Linked DNA regions of Rattus norvegicus. The protein of the gene in region 1 interacts with the protein of each later gene in a pairwise test. Links are inferred from orthologs where the notes say so. Each region holds a gene or a part of one and is shown in the gene's direction. Other genes may lie near its edges.

Evidence for each region.
Region 2: the proteins of Ssc5d (region 1) and Exoc7 interact in binary tests that used the Homo sapiens proteins (3 or more experiments, as listed by UniProt). The two-hybrid records come from large-scale screens. The link is inferred for Rattus norvegicus from reciprocal best matches to the Homo sapiens genes SSC5D and EXOC7.
Region 3: the proteins of Ssc5d (region 1) and Necab2 interact in binary tests that used the Homo sapiens proteins (3 or more experiments, as listed by UniProt). The two-hybrid records come from large-scale screens. The link is inferred for Rattus norvegicus from reciprocal best matches to the Homo sapiens genes SSC5D and NECAB2.
Region 4: the proteins of Ssc5d (region 1) and Sec23ip interact in binary tests that used the Homo sapiens proteins (3 or more experiments, as listed by UniProt). The two-hybrid records come from large-scale screens. The link is inferred for Rattus norvegicus from reciprocal best matches to the Homo sapiens genes SSC5D and SEC23IP.

What each region holds. Positions count from the first base shown.
Region 1 is NC_086019.1:77,935,775-77,940,051, reverse strand, and holds the start of Ssc5d (soluble scavenger receptor cysteine-rich domain-containing protein SSC5D precursor), read left to right. Parts: upstream 1-1,477; 5' UTR 1,478-1,600; coding exon 1,601-1,625; intron 1,626-2,129; coding exon 2,130-2,156; intron 2,157-2,621; coding exon 2,622-2,930; intron 2,931-3,189; coding exon 3,190-3,303; intron 3,304-3,530; coding exon 3,531-3,644; intron 3,645-4,001; coding exon 4,002-4,277. Other genes in the region: Nat14 (probable N-acetyltransferase 14), read left to right, coding at 1-88.
Region 2 is NC_086028.1:102,025,802-102,029,301, reverse strand, and holds part of Exoc7 (exocyst complex component 7), read left to right. Parts: intron 1-199; coding exon of another isoform or gene 200-303; intron 304-970; coding exon of another isoform or gene 971-1,127; intron 1,128-2,297; coding exon 2,298-2,443; intron 2,444-2,651; coding exon 2,652-2,804; intron 2,805-3,203; coding exon 3,204-3,302; intron 3,303-3,500. UniProt on the Homo sapiens protein: Component of the exocyst complex involved in the docking of exocytic vesicles with fusion sites on the plasma membrane.
Region 3 is NC_086037.1:64,412,999-64,416,498, forward strand, and holds part of Necab2 (N-terminal EF-hand calcium-binding protein 2), read left to right. Parts: intron 1-1,969; coding exon 1,970-2,078; intron 2,079-3,500. UniProt on the Homo sapiens protein: May act as a signaling scaffold protein that senses intracellular calcium.
Region 4 is NC_086019.1:192,768,381-192,771,880, forward strand, and holds part of Sec23ip (SEC23-interacting protein), read left to right. Parts: intron 1-1,741; coding exon 1,742-1,831; intron 1,832-2,538; coding exon 2,539-2,680; intron 2,681-3,500. UniProt on the Homo sapiens protein: Plays a role in the organization of endoplasmic reticulum exit sites. Specifically binds to phosphatidylinositol 3-phosphate (PI(3)P), phosphatidylinositol 4-phosphate (PI(4)P) and phosphatidylinositol 5-phosphate (PI(5)P).

The sequences.
Region 1 (4,277 bases):
GTTATTGGAGGCCTGTGGCTACCAGGCAGAGGGAGGCTGGGGCTGCATGGGCTATATGCTGGTTAGGGAATTCAGCAAAGACCTGTGATTGGAGACTATGCCCATTGGGTAGATGGGCAGAGAACCAGCACCTAAAGAACACCTACTGTGTGCCGTGCACTTTACATCCCCTCCCGCAGTGTCCACCTAGTCTGCTGGGCTGATAGTGAGGCACCAAGGTTGATGGACTTACATGCTCACAGTGGACCTGCCAGATGCAATGGGGACTCTAAACTCAAATAGAACAAATTCCTTCTTGGTCTTCTGGGACCACTAGAAGTCGCCCTGTTCACTTCTCCCCCCCCCCAACCCCCAGCCCCAGTCTGTATGCACTGAAAAAACTTGTGGTTCTGGGTCTACAAAGCCCCTGTTGCGTGTATTTGAGGTCTGGAAGGGATATCTGGGGGGGGGGGAGAGAGAGAGAGAGAGAGAGAGAGAGAGAGAGACTGAGACTCTCAGAGTTAGAGTCTGACAGGGAACTCCCAAAGGGGACAGATCTTCTGGGAGTGGGTGGGACTGGGAGCATAGTGTCTCCAAGACCATCTGGTTTTTTACACTGTTTGTTAATAAATCCTGAAACTTCTGTGTGCCTGTCTCCTCTCTGATGCATTTTCCAGCTGCTCTCTCCAGACTCCCTCCTTCTGTCTGGCTCCTCCTCTCCAAAGTTGACATTAATTGCTAGAGAAGTTGGGGGGGGGGAGGCGCGTGCACTGTGCTGGGAAAAGGAGAAGCAGTGAGCTCACAGCGGCAGCCCAGTCTCTGCCAGGCCTTCTGAGTCATGCTCCCCATTACCAAAGTTTTTCCCTTTACAGCTGCCTGCTGTGTGTGTGTGTGTGTGTGTGTGTGTGTGTGTGTGTGTGTGTGTGTACACCCCCTCCAAACCGAGGCCTTGACCCCCTTGGTCTCTCTACCCTCCATACCTTTGTTCTAGGAACTGGTAAGTTGTAAGTTCAGACACTCCTTCCTCAAATAGGCACTGGGAGGTTCCCATCCAGATTTGCCACAGTGGGTGTCAAATGGAGAGAGAGGTTTTTCAGTTTCTCTTCTAGATCTAGGAAGTCCCTCCTAGTGTCTGGCTGCAGGCCCTCTTGCTACTGCAGGATTCCCCCAAATCTGTCCACTCCCGTTTACACTTACTTGCCTGGCTGGACAATAAGAGGAGGCAAAAGGGTGTGCCCTCAGCCCTGTCCCCCAGACACCCAGGCCTGCCCCTTCCCAGAACTGCCATCCCCAGAAGCATCTCTAAGCGCGTGGCCCTCTGGAGCTTGGCTGGCCGCCTCCCTCCAGTGTGGGTGTTTGCACTTGAACACCTCCCTTCTGCCTGCCCACCGCCCCCCCTCCTCCAGGCTCAGCTGTGGCCAGCCCCCTCCCCCTCCTGTCCCCTGCTGCATCCCTGCAGCCTCTCTCCCTCCTGGCAAAGCCTTCAGCCCAGCCTGCTCCTAGCTGTCCAGGGCGCCTCAGCAGCGGCTTCCCTCCCTCCTATCCTCCCTGGCTGCCTCCGCCTCCCCTCTCCTGCCCTCTTTCCCCTTTCACCCCATCCCCTGCCCTGGACTCTGCAAACATGAGGGTCTTGGCGTGTCTTCTTGGTGAGTGATCCATTCCCGTGGGGGGTGGGGCACCTTAGGGGCCTGGACCCTCACCTCTGACACTTTAGCTTCTCCAGTTCAGGGACTCATACTATAGGGAGCCTGTTCTGGTCCCTGGTGCTGTGTGATAGCCTGACATCTGGTCGGCCCCTCTAATCCCTCAGGGACCCAGCCTTCTGCTAGTCCTGCCTAGCAACTCAAGTGACCTGCCCTTTGTTGCCCCTGCATGCACTCTGTGGAGCTATCACTCCCACCATTCAATATGGTCCCCAGCCCTGTCTTCAAGGGTCAGGCATCCGGGGCCCCACCCACCCCAGGGACCTGTAACTTATCCCAGCCTCCACCCAAAGTCCATTCCAGCAATGGGGCTTCTGACTCAGAGGTATGAGGAATCTGTATGTGAATGATGCTTCCCACTGAACTGAAGCTGGAAGCCTGCACTGGGGAAAGGACCCCTCCCCTCTGATTTACCCTTCACTCTGTCCCTTCCAATCTCCTTTGCAGCAATGCTGGTGGGGATCCAGGCTATAGGTAAGTGTCCTGATTCTGCACTTGGCCTCACCCAGCTCTAAGCCTCCCCTCTCTCCTGCTGGTCCCTGCTGCCCAGATTCCACTCAGCTCCCCTGACAGTGCAGGCCATGGGTCCCCATCCAGCAGGGACACTGAGTCTTCTCTAGAGTTAGCTGCACGCTGACCTATGGGAGAGAAGCAAAGTTATGAGGACAGTGATGGGGGAGGAGTAGAAGGGCCATTTGACCCCTGGCAGAAGGACTTTGGATGCCCGAATTCCCTGGTTCAGTGTCCTTCCACACAGCCCCCAGCATCTCTGAGATACTCCTCTTATTTGCACCCAGGAGTCTGGGACCAGGGCCCAGCCTCCAGGGTAGCTGGATTCCTGATGGTAGCTTGTAACACACACCCCCCACCGCCACCCTTGGTGTCACCGTGCCTACAGTACTCCTGTCTGGAGTTACAGTTTTTTTCTTCACCCCTCAGAGCGACTCCGCCTGGCTGATGGCCCTCATGGCTGTGCAGGACGCCTGGAGGTCTGGTACAGCGGGCGCTGGGGCACCGTGTGTGATGACGGATGGGACCTTCGGGATGCTGCAGTGGCCTGCCGTGTGTTGGGCTGCGGAGGGGCGCTAGCCGCCCCCGGGGGTGCCTTCTTTGGGGAGGGCACTGGGCCCGTGTGGCTCAGTGAGCTGGCCTGTCGGGGCAGTGAGGGACAGCTGGGTATCTGTCCCCACCGGGGCTGGAAGGCTCATATCTGCTCTCACGAGGAGGACGCGGGCGTCGTCTGTGTAGGTAAAAAGATTCAAACTCCTCTTATGGTTCTGGCCCCAGGAACCCCCAAGCCCTTAGTTCCCACAGATCTGAGCTGTCTGGAAGCTGAGAGATAACCAATTCCAGATCTCATAAGGCCAGGTGCCCACCCCCAAAGACTGCCAGCTTATTTCTGAGCCCCAGGGAATTCAGGCATCCAAGGTCCTTCTGCCCCAGGGGTCAAATGGCCCTTCTACTCCTCCCCCATCACTGTCCTCATAACTTTGCTTCTCTCCCATAGGTCAGCGTGCAGCTAACTCTAGAGAAGACTCAGTGTCCCTGCTGGATGGGGACCCATGGCTGGCACTGTCTGGGGAGCTGAGCCCCAGCTCAGAGGAGCCCCCTATAACTCATGGTGAGCACAAAGGACTAGGCTTCCCATCCTGCACCCTGGTTGGACTCATCTATGGGGAAGGTCGTCACGCAGACGTTTTCCCAGCAAGCTGGTTTCCTTTGTTACCTAGAAATCCTCTGTCCAGAAATCTTTCAAACCCTCAGAAAAGAATCCCTAGACAGATGAAAGAAGTCAGGAAGGGTGGCCAGCTCAGATCCTGAGTTCCTGGTCACATGTCACTTTCCTAGCTCCCCAGCCGGCAGCAAGCTCCCAGAATGGCCCCCGAAAGAAGAACCCCCGGCCACCCAAGCAGGTCAAGTCCACCCGAGCCCCTGTACTGACAAATGGAGCTCCCCGCCAAGGTAAGTCTCTAAATCTCCCTTAGACAAGGTCCTGATCTGGGTGCTATGAGACCCTAGACCCGGCCAAACTGAGGATCCCAGACCTCCATTCAGCCAATGACTCTCCAAGGAGACCAACATTCATTGTTTCCTCCCTTCAGATCCAGTCAGGGCTGGCCACCCCCTCTTCTTGATCCTTCCTCTATGAGAACCAGAGGGATAGCAGTTTTCTTTTCTAAATTAGCCAATCGGCAGGCAAACCTCAGTCCTCTGCTATTTCTGGGCCTTAGCTTCCCCAGGTGAACAAACAAGAAGCTGCCCCTCCAAGCTGACATTAGCCTCATACGGTCTCCTGTCTTCCCTGTCTGCACCCCCCAGAGCGGCTGCGTCTGGTCTCAGGTCCCCATGGATGTGCCGGCCGCCTGGAAGTCTGGCACGGTGGACGTTGGGGTACTGTCTGCGATGATGGATGGGACCTCCGAGACGCAGCAGTGGCCTGTAGGGAGCTAGGATGTGGGGGAGCGCTGGCCGCCCCTGGAGGTGCCAGATTCGGACCTGGTGAGGGACCCGTGTGGATGGACGATGTCGGGTGTGGAGGAGGAGAGGAGGCCCTCCGGGACTGTCCCCGAAGCCCCTGGGGCCGGAGCAACTGTG
Region 2 (3,500 bases), on another chromosome or scaffold:
TTTGAATACCTTTTCTTCTCTCCGTCCTCAAGGGTGTCTGGTGACCCTGGCAGGGCCTGCCGGCAGAGGTGTTAGGGGGCATGCTCGCTGTTGGTTGGGCGAGGGTGGACGAGGGCGGGGTGGGTGTTGGGCCGCTGCTGTTCTCTCTCGCTCACTCCCTAGGTCTTCCTCTCTCCTCTCTGTGTGGCTCTGGTGACAGGGACGATCCGTAAGGCTCAGAACCTTCTGAAACAGTATTCCCAGCATGGTCTAGATGGGAAAAAGGGGGGCTCTAACCTCATTCCTCTGGAAGGTAATCACCCTGTGCTCCTTCCCCTCTTCCACTGTGTGTCTGCTTACTTGTCGGGCAGGGCAGAGCCTCCCCCAGGAGAGCATGGGACAGATCCTGAGGGGGCTGGGTGGCAGCGGCAAACCCCTGATGCTCCTCAGGCTTCAGCAGGCCCGAGGACAAGTTTCATGGCCCTGATCCTGCCTGGCTCTGCCCTTCCTAAGGCTCCTGCTCCCTGTCCCTGTCCTTGTGTCCTGTGTGAACTCAGAGAACACTGTCTTGGGGCAGCCCTTTCACGCCCAGATCAGCAGGGCAGGACCAAGTTGGCCAGGGCCTCCTGGCTACCTGCCTCTGTAGAAAGAGTACTTCATGTAGCTAAGGGGACAGGCTGCCTGAGGGACATGTCCCTCCTCTCCTGTGAAGGGAGGGACAGGTAGATCTGCAGACCTGGTGGACCCAGCCTCTTACAAAGGAAGGCTGTCCTCATTCACTCAGCAGTGACATTTTCACTGTGTCTCCCTGGGGCTGTGTGCCTTCTCTTGGTCTCCCTAGGTCAGAAAACACACAGCCAGGGATGGTCCTGAGACCCCTTAAGAATCAGGCTTGAAAAGGCTGTTCCCAGTGGCATCTGAGGTGGTGGAGGGGCTCAGAGCCCTCCTCAGTGCCCCCTCCCTAGCCCCATTTCACGCTCCGCTCCTGGAGATCAAGGGTTTCGTCCCCATACCCAAGGGGCAGCTGCCTGGCCCCTGGATAAATGCTGCTTGTGTTTGTGTGGCCGACATCTTGCTAGGTCATGAGCATGATTTTCGAGTTAAGCACCTGTCAGAGGCCCTGAATGACAAGCACGGGCCACTGGCCGGTGAGTACCGTAGCCCAGCCCCAGGGTAGCCAAACACTGCCTTGGAAGTACTGCCCCCGATGGCCTGCTCTGTCGAAGGATGGGCCTGTCCCGTGGCCTAGCTCCCACTCCAGGCTCCTTTGGGCCTAGGTCTCCTTGCCTCTTATGAGATGGGAGTGCATGCTTGGCTCCTGGGGCCTGGCTAGAGGAGCAGCTGCAGCCTGAGCTCGGAAGGAGGCAGGAGGACAGGTGGCTCCTCTGAGGTCAAGGAACCTGGATGTTGCACTTCTTGGAGCCTGCCCATGCCATATAAAACCGGACTGTTCTACCCTGGCATGCGTGTCCAACTTCTTTTTTTTTTTTTTTTTTTTTTTTTTCGGAGCTGGGGACCGAACCCAGGGCCTTGCGCTTGGTAGGCAAGCGCTCTACCACTGAGCCAAATCCCCAACCCCTACATGTCCAACTTCTAATAGAGGGACGCTGTCTTCCCTGGGGCTGTTCGACAAAGAGACGCCGAGACTCACTTATCTCCTCTCAGACTGTTCTGTTTTGTTGAGGGAGAACCTCGCTATGTCCTTCAAGCTGGCCTCGAACTCAGTCATCACCCCCCAGTGGGTGGGCATTGGGGTCATAGTTATACATCACACTCGGTCTGCTAATTCTCCCTGGAATTAGCTCTCCTCTGTACACATGCCAGCTAGCCTCAGAGCCCACCACTCCCTCACACTTTCAGGGCCCGGTGCAGTTGGTAATGACCTTCGTAGGAACCACATCTCCCAGGTTGAAGACCACATCAACCCCCTTCTTAAAATGAACACTGCCACCTGCCTTTCCTGGACCACCCTCTTTGAAGCAGTTCAGAATCCTCAGACCTGGGCAGACAACCTTATCCAGGAAGTTGGTTTGGGAATTTCCTTCCTTGGCGCTTTCTGCCACCACCTCTAGTGTTTGATCTGGGGACTTAAATGCTGCCTGTGCAGAGCTGACAGTGGCACCAGGACACGGTCTGGACTCAGTTCCTGATCTCCCAGGTCTGCCAGAACAGTCTTTATAGCTTCCTGTCCTGTTTGTGTCTTCCTTTTCCTGTTTACTGCCTGTCTGGGCTCAGCCCAGGAGCTGGGGATACTCATACCCCAAGTAGAGCGAGTGGCCTCTCCCAGACCAGCACTCAGGGTCACTGCTGTCCCCTAGGGAGAGATGACATGCTGGACGTGGAGACAGATGCCTACATTCACTGCGTTAGTGCCTTTGTCAGGCTGGCACAGAGTGAATACCAGCTGCTGATGGGCATCATTCCCGAGCATCACCAGAAGAAAACCTTCGACTCCTTGATACAGGTCTCACTCCTCCCGCCACGCTGCTCTGCGCTGACCCTGTAACTTTTACTGCAGAATCTAGAGGGTGGGGCGGGGCTGCTGCCCTAAGCCCTCAACTCTATTGGATGTAGTCTCCTCCCCCATCCCTCACAGCACTCTGGCTTTCCTTCGTGCCCCACAAAGTGACTCACTGTCCCAGGAACCAGCTCTGGCCTTGTCCCTCCTCTAGGATGCCCTAGATGGGCTGATGCTTGAAGGGGAGAACATAGTGTCCGCGGCCAGGAAAGCCATCATCCGCCATGACTTCTCCACCGTGCTCACCGTCTTCCCCATCCTGCGACACCTCAAGCAGACCAAGCCTGAGTTTGACCAGGTGCTCCAGGTATGTGAGCCAGGAGGTCCTAAGGGCCTCTCTCTCTGTCTGTCTCTCTGTCACACACTCACACATACTGGCACACAGGCACACAGACAAACAGACAAAGACAGACAGACACATGCACGCACACATGCACGCACGCGGGTACATGCCACGGTGTCCCTTTACTCCTTCTGGGGAATTAGCCCATGCTCACCTAGAGCTCTAATGAGTGACTCCCAAGGGGCTTTGGACAAGTCAGGATGCTTGCAAGGCAACAGAAGAGCTGTGGTTAATCTTGACCTGGAGAATCCAGCCTTCAGACTAAGGGTTGGGAAGGGCCTAGAAGGATATACCACACTCAGGGCTTGCTGGAGAGGGCAGTGACTGGACTCTGATGACTGTTTCAGTCATGTCCTTCCTCAGGGCACAGCAGCCAGCACGAAGAACAAGCTGCCAGGCCTCATCACCTCCATGGAGACCATTGGGGCCAAAGCTCTAGAAGACTTTGCGGATAACATCAAGGTGCCTGCAACCCCTTCCCCTTCAGTGAGCTCTGGGGACTCCTCAGAGAGCAGGCCCTCAACAGAGTCAGTCGGTCTTAGAACTGCTGCTGCAGTACTGGTTCCCTGGGGGGCCCTTTGAGCACCTTCGTTTCTTCCCAGCCCTCTGCAGCTGACTTCCTGGTCTTGTACAGACCGAGGCGGAGGGGCATCCTTACAG
Region 3 (3,500 bases), on another chromosome or scaffold:
CTGTCCTGGTGCTTCATGGGAAACAGCTAGGGGTGGGAACATGGACGACTATGGACCTGAGGGTGAAGAGTGCAAGAAATCCAGAGGCTAAGTGCTGTCACTGCTCTGTGCCTCGGTTTCCCCTTCTGTAAGCTGACGTGGTAACAGCTGTCCTGTGTTGCCCTGAGCTTTGGGGTGAGGTAAAGAGATGTACGTGGGTGACCTACAACACTGCAGAAGAGAACCCTTGCCTGTCACCTGCCCTGAGGCCCTTCCCAAGTGGGTTTTAATTCAAGGTGGCTCCGGCCTTGTCCACCTCCTCTGCCCTTCCTAGGAGCTGTTGTTAACTGTCCCACGTGGTTGTGGGTTGGGATGGAGCTCTTTGGGATCTGGAAGGACAGGGGGACAGGCTTGGGCTAGGATCATTATAGAGGAGTGTTGCCCTCTTGGGCCTGTCCCAGGGATGGTATGCATCTTCCCAGGCCTTGGGGACCACCTGCAGATTCCACACACAACACAGGGATGTAGGGTACCAAAGGTGTGGTAGCACTGTGCAGAGCCTATACTACCCAGGGAAAGAGGCCTGGCCCCTGCCCCCCACACAGGTCACAGGAGTGTCAGCTTGGAGCCTTAGACTGCACCCTCCTGACCCCCACCACTCCCACAGGTTGGGTGATTGAACTTGTCTTCTCCGTTGAGGCCATTGTGCCCAAAGCACAGGAGGGCCTCTGTGCCAATGCATACATCTGCCAATGTATGCAAGATGCCTTCCATTATGAGAACAAGGCTGAGTGTCTCTGGGAGGCTCTCATGATTGACTAGCTTGGATGTGGTAGACACGGGGTAGCTAATCCCCAAGGGAAGGCTAGTGTGAGAGGCCTGGGTATCACCCTCAAAGACTGGCATTGTTGTTCAGCAGAAGGGTGAGGACCAGCCAGCCCTTCCATCCAAGGATGTGAGGCTCACAGGTTCCTGCTATTTGAAAGGTCATTGCTGCAGGCTGGGCTCCTGCTCATTAGTAGCACCACCTGCAAACAGCCCCACTTGGGTCATTGGCAGAGGTGATGAAACTGCAGGACAACTTGTCTTCTCTAATTGGACCAGAGGCCAAGTGGAGGATATTTTCCTCTTAATAGCTCATCTGTGCTCATTAGGCCTGTGACTAGCACCCAAGGTAAATGTCAGAGGATCTGCAGGCCCTGTCTTCCAGCTTCCTGTTCTCTCTGGGTACAGAGGACACTGAGGTACCATCCATGATAAGCAGGTGGAAACAGTCAAGAGGGAAGCCTGGCCTGGTGTTAGCACACCCCATGCTGTGCCCGGGACAGACATGACTAATCAATTACAGCACACATTCATTGAATCTAGCATTGGCTTCAGCTTTTCCATGCAGCCCAGCTACGCCATGAAATATGGAGCCACTGACTACCCCTCACCCAAAAGGTGGGGGACTGTGCTGTTACCTACCATGTGGCACAAAGTCCTGCTCTAGGGTAGGTTGAAGGTCTGAGCTCAGCCTGCTGTTGCCTTGAGGAAGGACGGAATAGAAGGACTATCTTCAGACTGCTTCAGAGCTGGGACCTGGGGCTTGGATTGAGCATGATCCCTGATAGGCTAGTGGTATCAGGTTAAGCATGTTGCTTAAATAATGTCTATGTAAGGGGGCTGGGGATTTAGCTCAGTGGTAGAGCGCTTACCTAGGAAGCGCAAGGCCCTGGGTTCGGTCCCCAGCTCCGAAAAAAAGAACCAAAAAAAAAAAAAATAATGTCTATGTCAGATGACTGAGGGGAGAGCAGAAGGGGTGATTGCCTGATAGAGCATGAAGGTATCTGCTCCCCAGAAACCAGTTGTCTCCGATGGTTTGGGATTACCTGTCAGTAGGCCTCAGGCTGACAACAGGGAGTTTGTCAGCTGAGGACAGGCTGTAGGCTACCATGCGCTCTCTTCTCTGAGACAAGCAGTCACTTGTTTCCTTGCCTGTCCATTGCAGACGACGGGAAACTGTCCCTTGAGGAATTTCAACTGTTCTTCGCGGATGGCGTCCTCAATGAGAAGGAGCTGGAGGGCCTCTTCCACACCATTGATTCAGACAACACCAAGTGAGCCTGGGCTACTGTGGGGCACCCTGGGATGTGTGGGCTCCTCCCTTCTTCACAGTGCCAAGGTCCTGTTTAAGGGCAAGAGGCCTAGAACTCCCCTGACTCAATAATTCAAAAGTCAGACTTACTTGATCCTCGCTGCCAAGCTGCCTGAGCCCCGTGTGTGTGTGTGTGTGTGTGTGTGTGTGTCCCACAAAGTTTGTCTTTTCTGAGCGACCTTGGCCAAACGGGGAGAGACCCTGGGCCTGCTGCAGTATACGCAGGACTGATGGGAAGTTGGCTGTGGCCCTGCCTGCTATCTCTCCATTCAGTTCTAATCCCAGCGTGACCTCAGACACCGCTTTCCCTGTGAACCACCATCCCAAACCACCCTACAGTGTCTATGAATCCCAACTCTAGCCTGAACTCCACTTCTGTCTTTTTTTTTTTTTTTCTGGAGCTGGGGACTGAACCCAGGGCCTTGAGCTTGCTAGACAAGCGCTCTGCCACTGAGCTAAATCCCCAACCCCTGTGAATTCCACTTCTGACCTTGGAACAAAATGAACTTGTTTCTGTAACCCACTAAGAACTTGGACCTGTGACTCAGCCTCCCAGGACACCTGGCGTCCAGAGCCAGCATAAGTGTGCAGTGTCCTTCACTCATCTTTGTCTGATGCCCCTGAATTCTGCCTGGGTGGGCAACAGCCACCTGGTCACCTTCCTCTGCCCCACTGAGGTGCTGAGGACTAAAGTTTCTAGGGGTGCTAGGGCAGGTGGGATCACTTGGGGGGCCCAGAGCCTAGCGGTGATGTAGGTACATGGTTACTACCGGGCCACTTTGCAGTTTGCTTGTAAAGTGGTAGCCAGGAACTGAGGCTGGAGACCTGACAGGGTGTAATTTTCTGAGGATGTCTTTTGGTTCTCATAGTAGAGCAGGGCTCTCTGTGTCCAGGCCATCTGAGGTCTTAGCTTCTCTGCAGCCTCTTGGGCACACATTCTTGGGATGCAGAGGCAAGCGGACCTCTGAGTTCAAGGCCAGCCTGAGTGAGTTCCAGGACAGCCAGGGCTACACAGAGAAACCCTGTCTCAAAAAACAAACAAACAAACAAACAAACAAAAAGATCCAAAGAGGTTGCCCTGAAGGATGGGGTGGGGTTGGGGGATCTATCCCTATAGGGAAGGTCACAATTCTGAAGACATTCTGGATTCTTGACTCCAGTATTCCCTGAAGTAGACATAAGAAGCAACATTTCCGGTTGTCTGAGGCACTCCAAGGCAGTCGCCGGCCTTGGAATCTACAGACAACCTTTTCTCAGATGGGCATGGCATCTACCAAAAGCAGTCCTGAGCCAGGGTAGAGGCTAGGCCCAGAGAGGAGGCATCAGACCCCACACAGACCCTGCTGGTCCCTCTGCTGCAGCTTCTGGTGCTGATGCCTTCACG
Region 4 (3,500 bases), about 110 Mb from region 1:
TTTGCCTTATATTACAGAGATCTTCCTGCTTTAGCTTTCTAAGTGATGTGATTATTCTATGAGCTACCAAACTTGGCTTTTTGAAAGATTTATTACTATTTCTTCATTCATGTGTATGTGCAAATGCTTGAGGAAGCCAAAGGAAGGTATCATGTCTTCTGAAAGGGCAGGGAGGTATAGGCAATTGTGACCACATGACGTAGGTGCTAGAAACTAAAGTTGGGTCCTCTAGAAGGAGGAGTAAATGTTCTTAACTTCTGACCCATCTTGCCAGCAACCCTGTCCCCAACCTTTTTGAGACAGCCTTTCACTATGTAGTCAAAGTTGACCTACAGCAGTTCTTCTGTCTCAGCATCCCAAGAGCTGGCGTGACAGATGTATACCTCCACACTTGGTTTTCCTCTTTTCTGCCATTGAAGAACATATTTTATTTTGATACTAGACATTTCATTGTCTAATAAGATAAGATAAATAGGTGTTATGAGATCCGGATGAAATAGTGTAGGAAAATAGATTGAACTTTGAGATATATCTTGTCTTGTTACCGGTCTGTTATTATGATGAGACACCAAGACCAAGGCAACTCTTAGAAAAGGAAGCATTTAATTGGGGGGCTTGCTTTCAATTTTTACTATTATCATGGTAGGAAACATGGCAGCAGGCAGGCGTGCAAGCAAGCAGGCATGGGGCTGGAGAAAGAGCTGAGAGCTTTAGATTCTGTTCTGAAGGCAAAGAGAGTGACTGGGCCTGGTTTATGCTTTTGAAACATCAAAGCCCACTTCATGACATAACCCCTCTAAGGCCACACCTCCCAGTCCTTCCCAAACAGTTCCATTCCCTAGCGACTAAGCATTCATATATGAGCCTATGGTGTCCATTCTTACTCAACCATACTCCTATTGGTTTTTGTTCTGTTTGGAGATAGGGTTACAGTGTATAGCTCTGATTGGCCTGGAACTTGCTTTGTAGACCATGCTAGCCTCCAGCTCACAGAGATTTACCTGCCTCTCTCTCCAGAGGGAGGTCCCAGGACCTTGGCTGGCTGTCTTAGAATGCTTTTGAATTAAGGGGAGGGACTTTGGGAATAAAGACTTTAAAGTTTTATATTGTCAGATTGTGTGTCCATGTTGGGCTTAGAGTTCTATGAAGGATGTTTGGTTTTGCTTGTTTGTTTGGTGTAGGGGATTGAGCTCAGGGCCATGTACACACTTTATTCCACACAGCTACAGTTTCATCCCAGTTATGTGGAGTTCTGAAAAAAAAAAATATACATTATGAGGGTCAGTAGGTCTGTGAAGAACTGATGTTTTCTTTTCTTTTTTTTTTTAAAGATTTATTCATTTATTTATATAAGTACACTGTAGCTGTCTTCAGACACACCAGAAGAGGGCATCAAATCTCTTTACAGATGGTTGTGAGCCACCATGTGGCTGCTGGGAATTGAATTCAGGACCTCTGGAAGAGTAGTCGGGTGCTCTTAACCGCTGAGCCATCTCTCCAGCCTGAACTGATGTTTTCTTAACCTCTCCATTTAGTGTGCCATTATTTGCCAAACTAGACAAATTATTCTAATTTAATATGAGGAAATGAGAGATATTTGCTTGGGAGGGTAATGGATTTCTTTGACTAGTTTATGATAATAAGAATATCAAGAATTTAGCAATTTAATTAACAATACCAAGTACTCAGCTTTGTGTATATGTGTGTTTTATGATAATGATAATTTATTTGTTTTTACCAGGGGAAATGCCTCAAGTTGACCATTTGGTGTTCATGGTGCATGGCATTGGGCCAGTGTGTGACTTGCGCTTTAGAAGCATTATTGAATGTGGTAAGTGCACGCCACATCTTGGTTTATAGACACCTCCGATTGCTGGTAGAGGGGCTCTTTAGTGTTCATTGTTATGGTAGTTGCTAGCTATGTACTTGTGGCTGGGGACTGTGAGTGGAGATTTCTGTGGTCAATAGGAAGTATTGATCTGTGTTTGATCTGCTCTTATTGCATACACTCCTGGATTCTGAAGAATTAGAAGGCATCTGGGTAATGATTTCACCGTTTTGGCCAACAGCCAACCTGGCTGAGCCCTCGGAGCAGCATAGAGCTCCTGTGTACTGAGCTGCTACAGAGGGAGTCCTCCGAGAAGCTGCTTAGGGCTTTGTCTGTAGTAACTGTCTGAGCTTACTGAGGACTCAGTGCTCCCAGCACGTGTGTTGTCCTCAGCCTCTCAGATACACCTTCAGGTGTGGGTGTGTCACTGCTACTGCCAGTGCTAGGAGAGGAGAGGCCCTGGCTGAGTTAGTGTGCCAGGGTCACGTCGGTTCTGGAACCTGGTGCTGAGGAGGGAGTTTGAGGAAGTTAAACTAAGTTTTTTAAGGCCTTAAATACAATATAACTTAAGACGTACTTCTGATCAGTCAGTGTTTGTTCATTTACTATTTTTTCATCTTTTTAAAAACATCTATCTTTTTGTAAAAAGCCAGCAGATTTTAGTTAATTAGCTACAATGGTAAGATAATTTACTCTTTTTTTTTTTAAAGTGGATGATTTTAGGGTGGTTTCTCTCAAGTTGCTGCAGACACACTTCAAGAAGTCTGTAGATGAAGGGAAAGTCAGCAGAGTGGAGTTCCTGCCAGTTCACTGGCACAGCGCCTTGGGTGGGCACGCCACGGGTGTTGACAGGTTTGTAGATTTTGATGACTTGTTTTTCACAGTAGCTGAAATTAGAGGCAAGTTTAAATTGTAATACAAAATGGCTTATTCCAACATAGGCAAATAACAGCCTTTTACTATCTCACTGTTCCTGTGTATTCCTAGTGTAAATATTTAAGGATCTAGGAAATTTTAGACAGTTTGTTTTGGATGCTGGAAATTGAACTCAGATTCCCGGATGTGATGAATACACCCTAATGTTCTGAGGCTGGCTTTAAAACAGCTGAGCTGCTATGGGTTAGGGGGCTGTGGAGAATGTTCTAGAATGCCCAGCAGCACCCTTGTCTAGTTGACAGTCAAACAGATCTTCTCCATGTGATAGCAAGCATGCTCAGATTGTGTCGAATTTCCTCATGCGGTGAAAATCACCCCTCTTTGAGACTTATATTTTTAGTTTCTTGGTGGGGAATACATAAAATTATTAAACTGTAGGCCATTTACTGATGCCACTGAATGTTAACAGCATTTACCAGGCACTGTGGCAGAAATTCCCCCCTTCAGCTTTGGATGCGCCCGTTTCAAAGCCACAGGTCCAGACAGTATTTATGCTGCCACACACGGCTGATAGCATGTTTGTAGCTGCTGACATTGTGATGTGATGGGGCCCGTGCTTTCTGAAGCTAATCCTGCAGACCGTGTTCTGGCCGCATTGTGCTGTGCTGTGAGGTGCTCCCTTCCCTCTGTGAACGCTCACAAGCTGCCCTTAGAGAATTTTTATTTCTGGTAACTTCTTTCATATTGTAAGTGTGACAGCCTCTTATCTCTGCCTGCCACAGTTTTGTCAGGCATC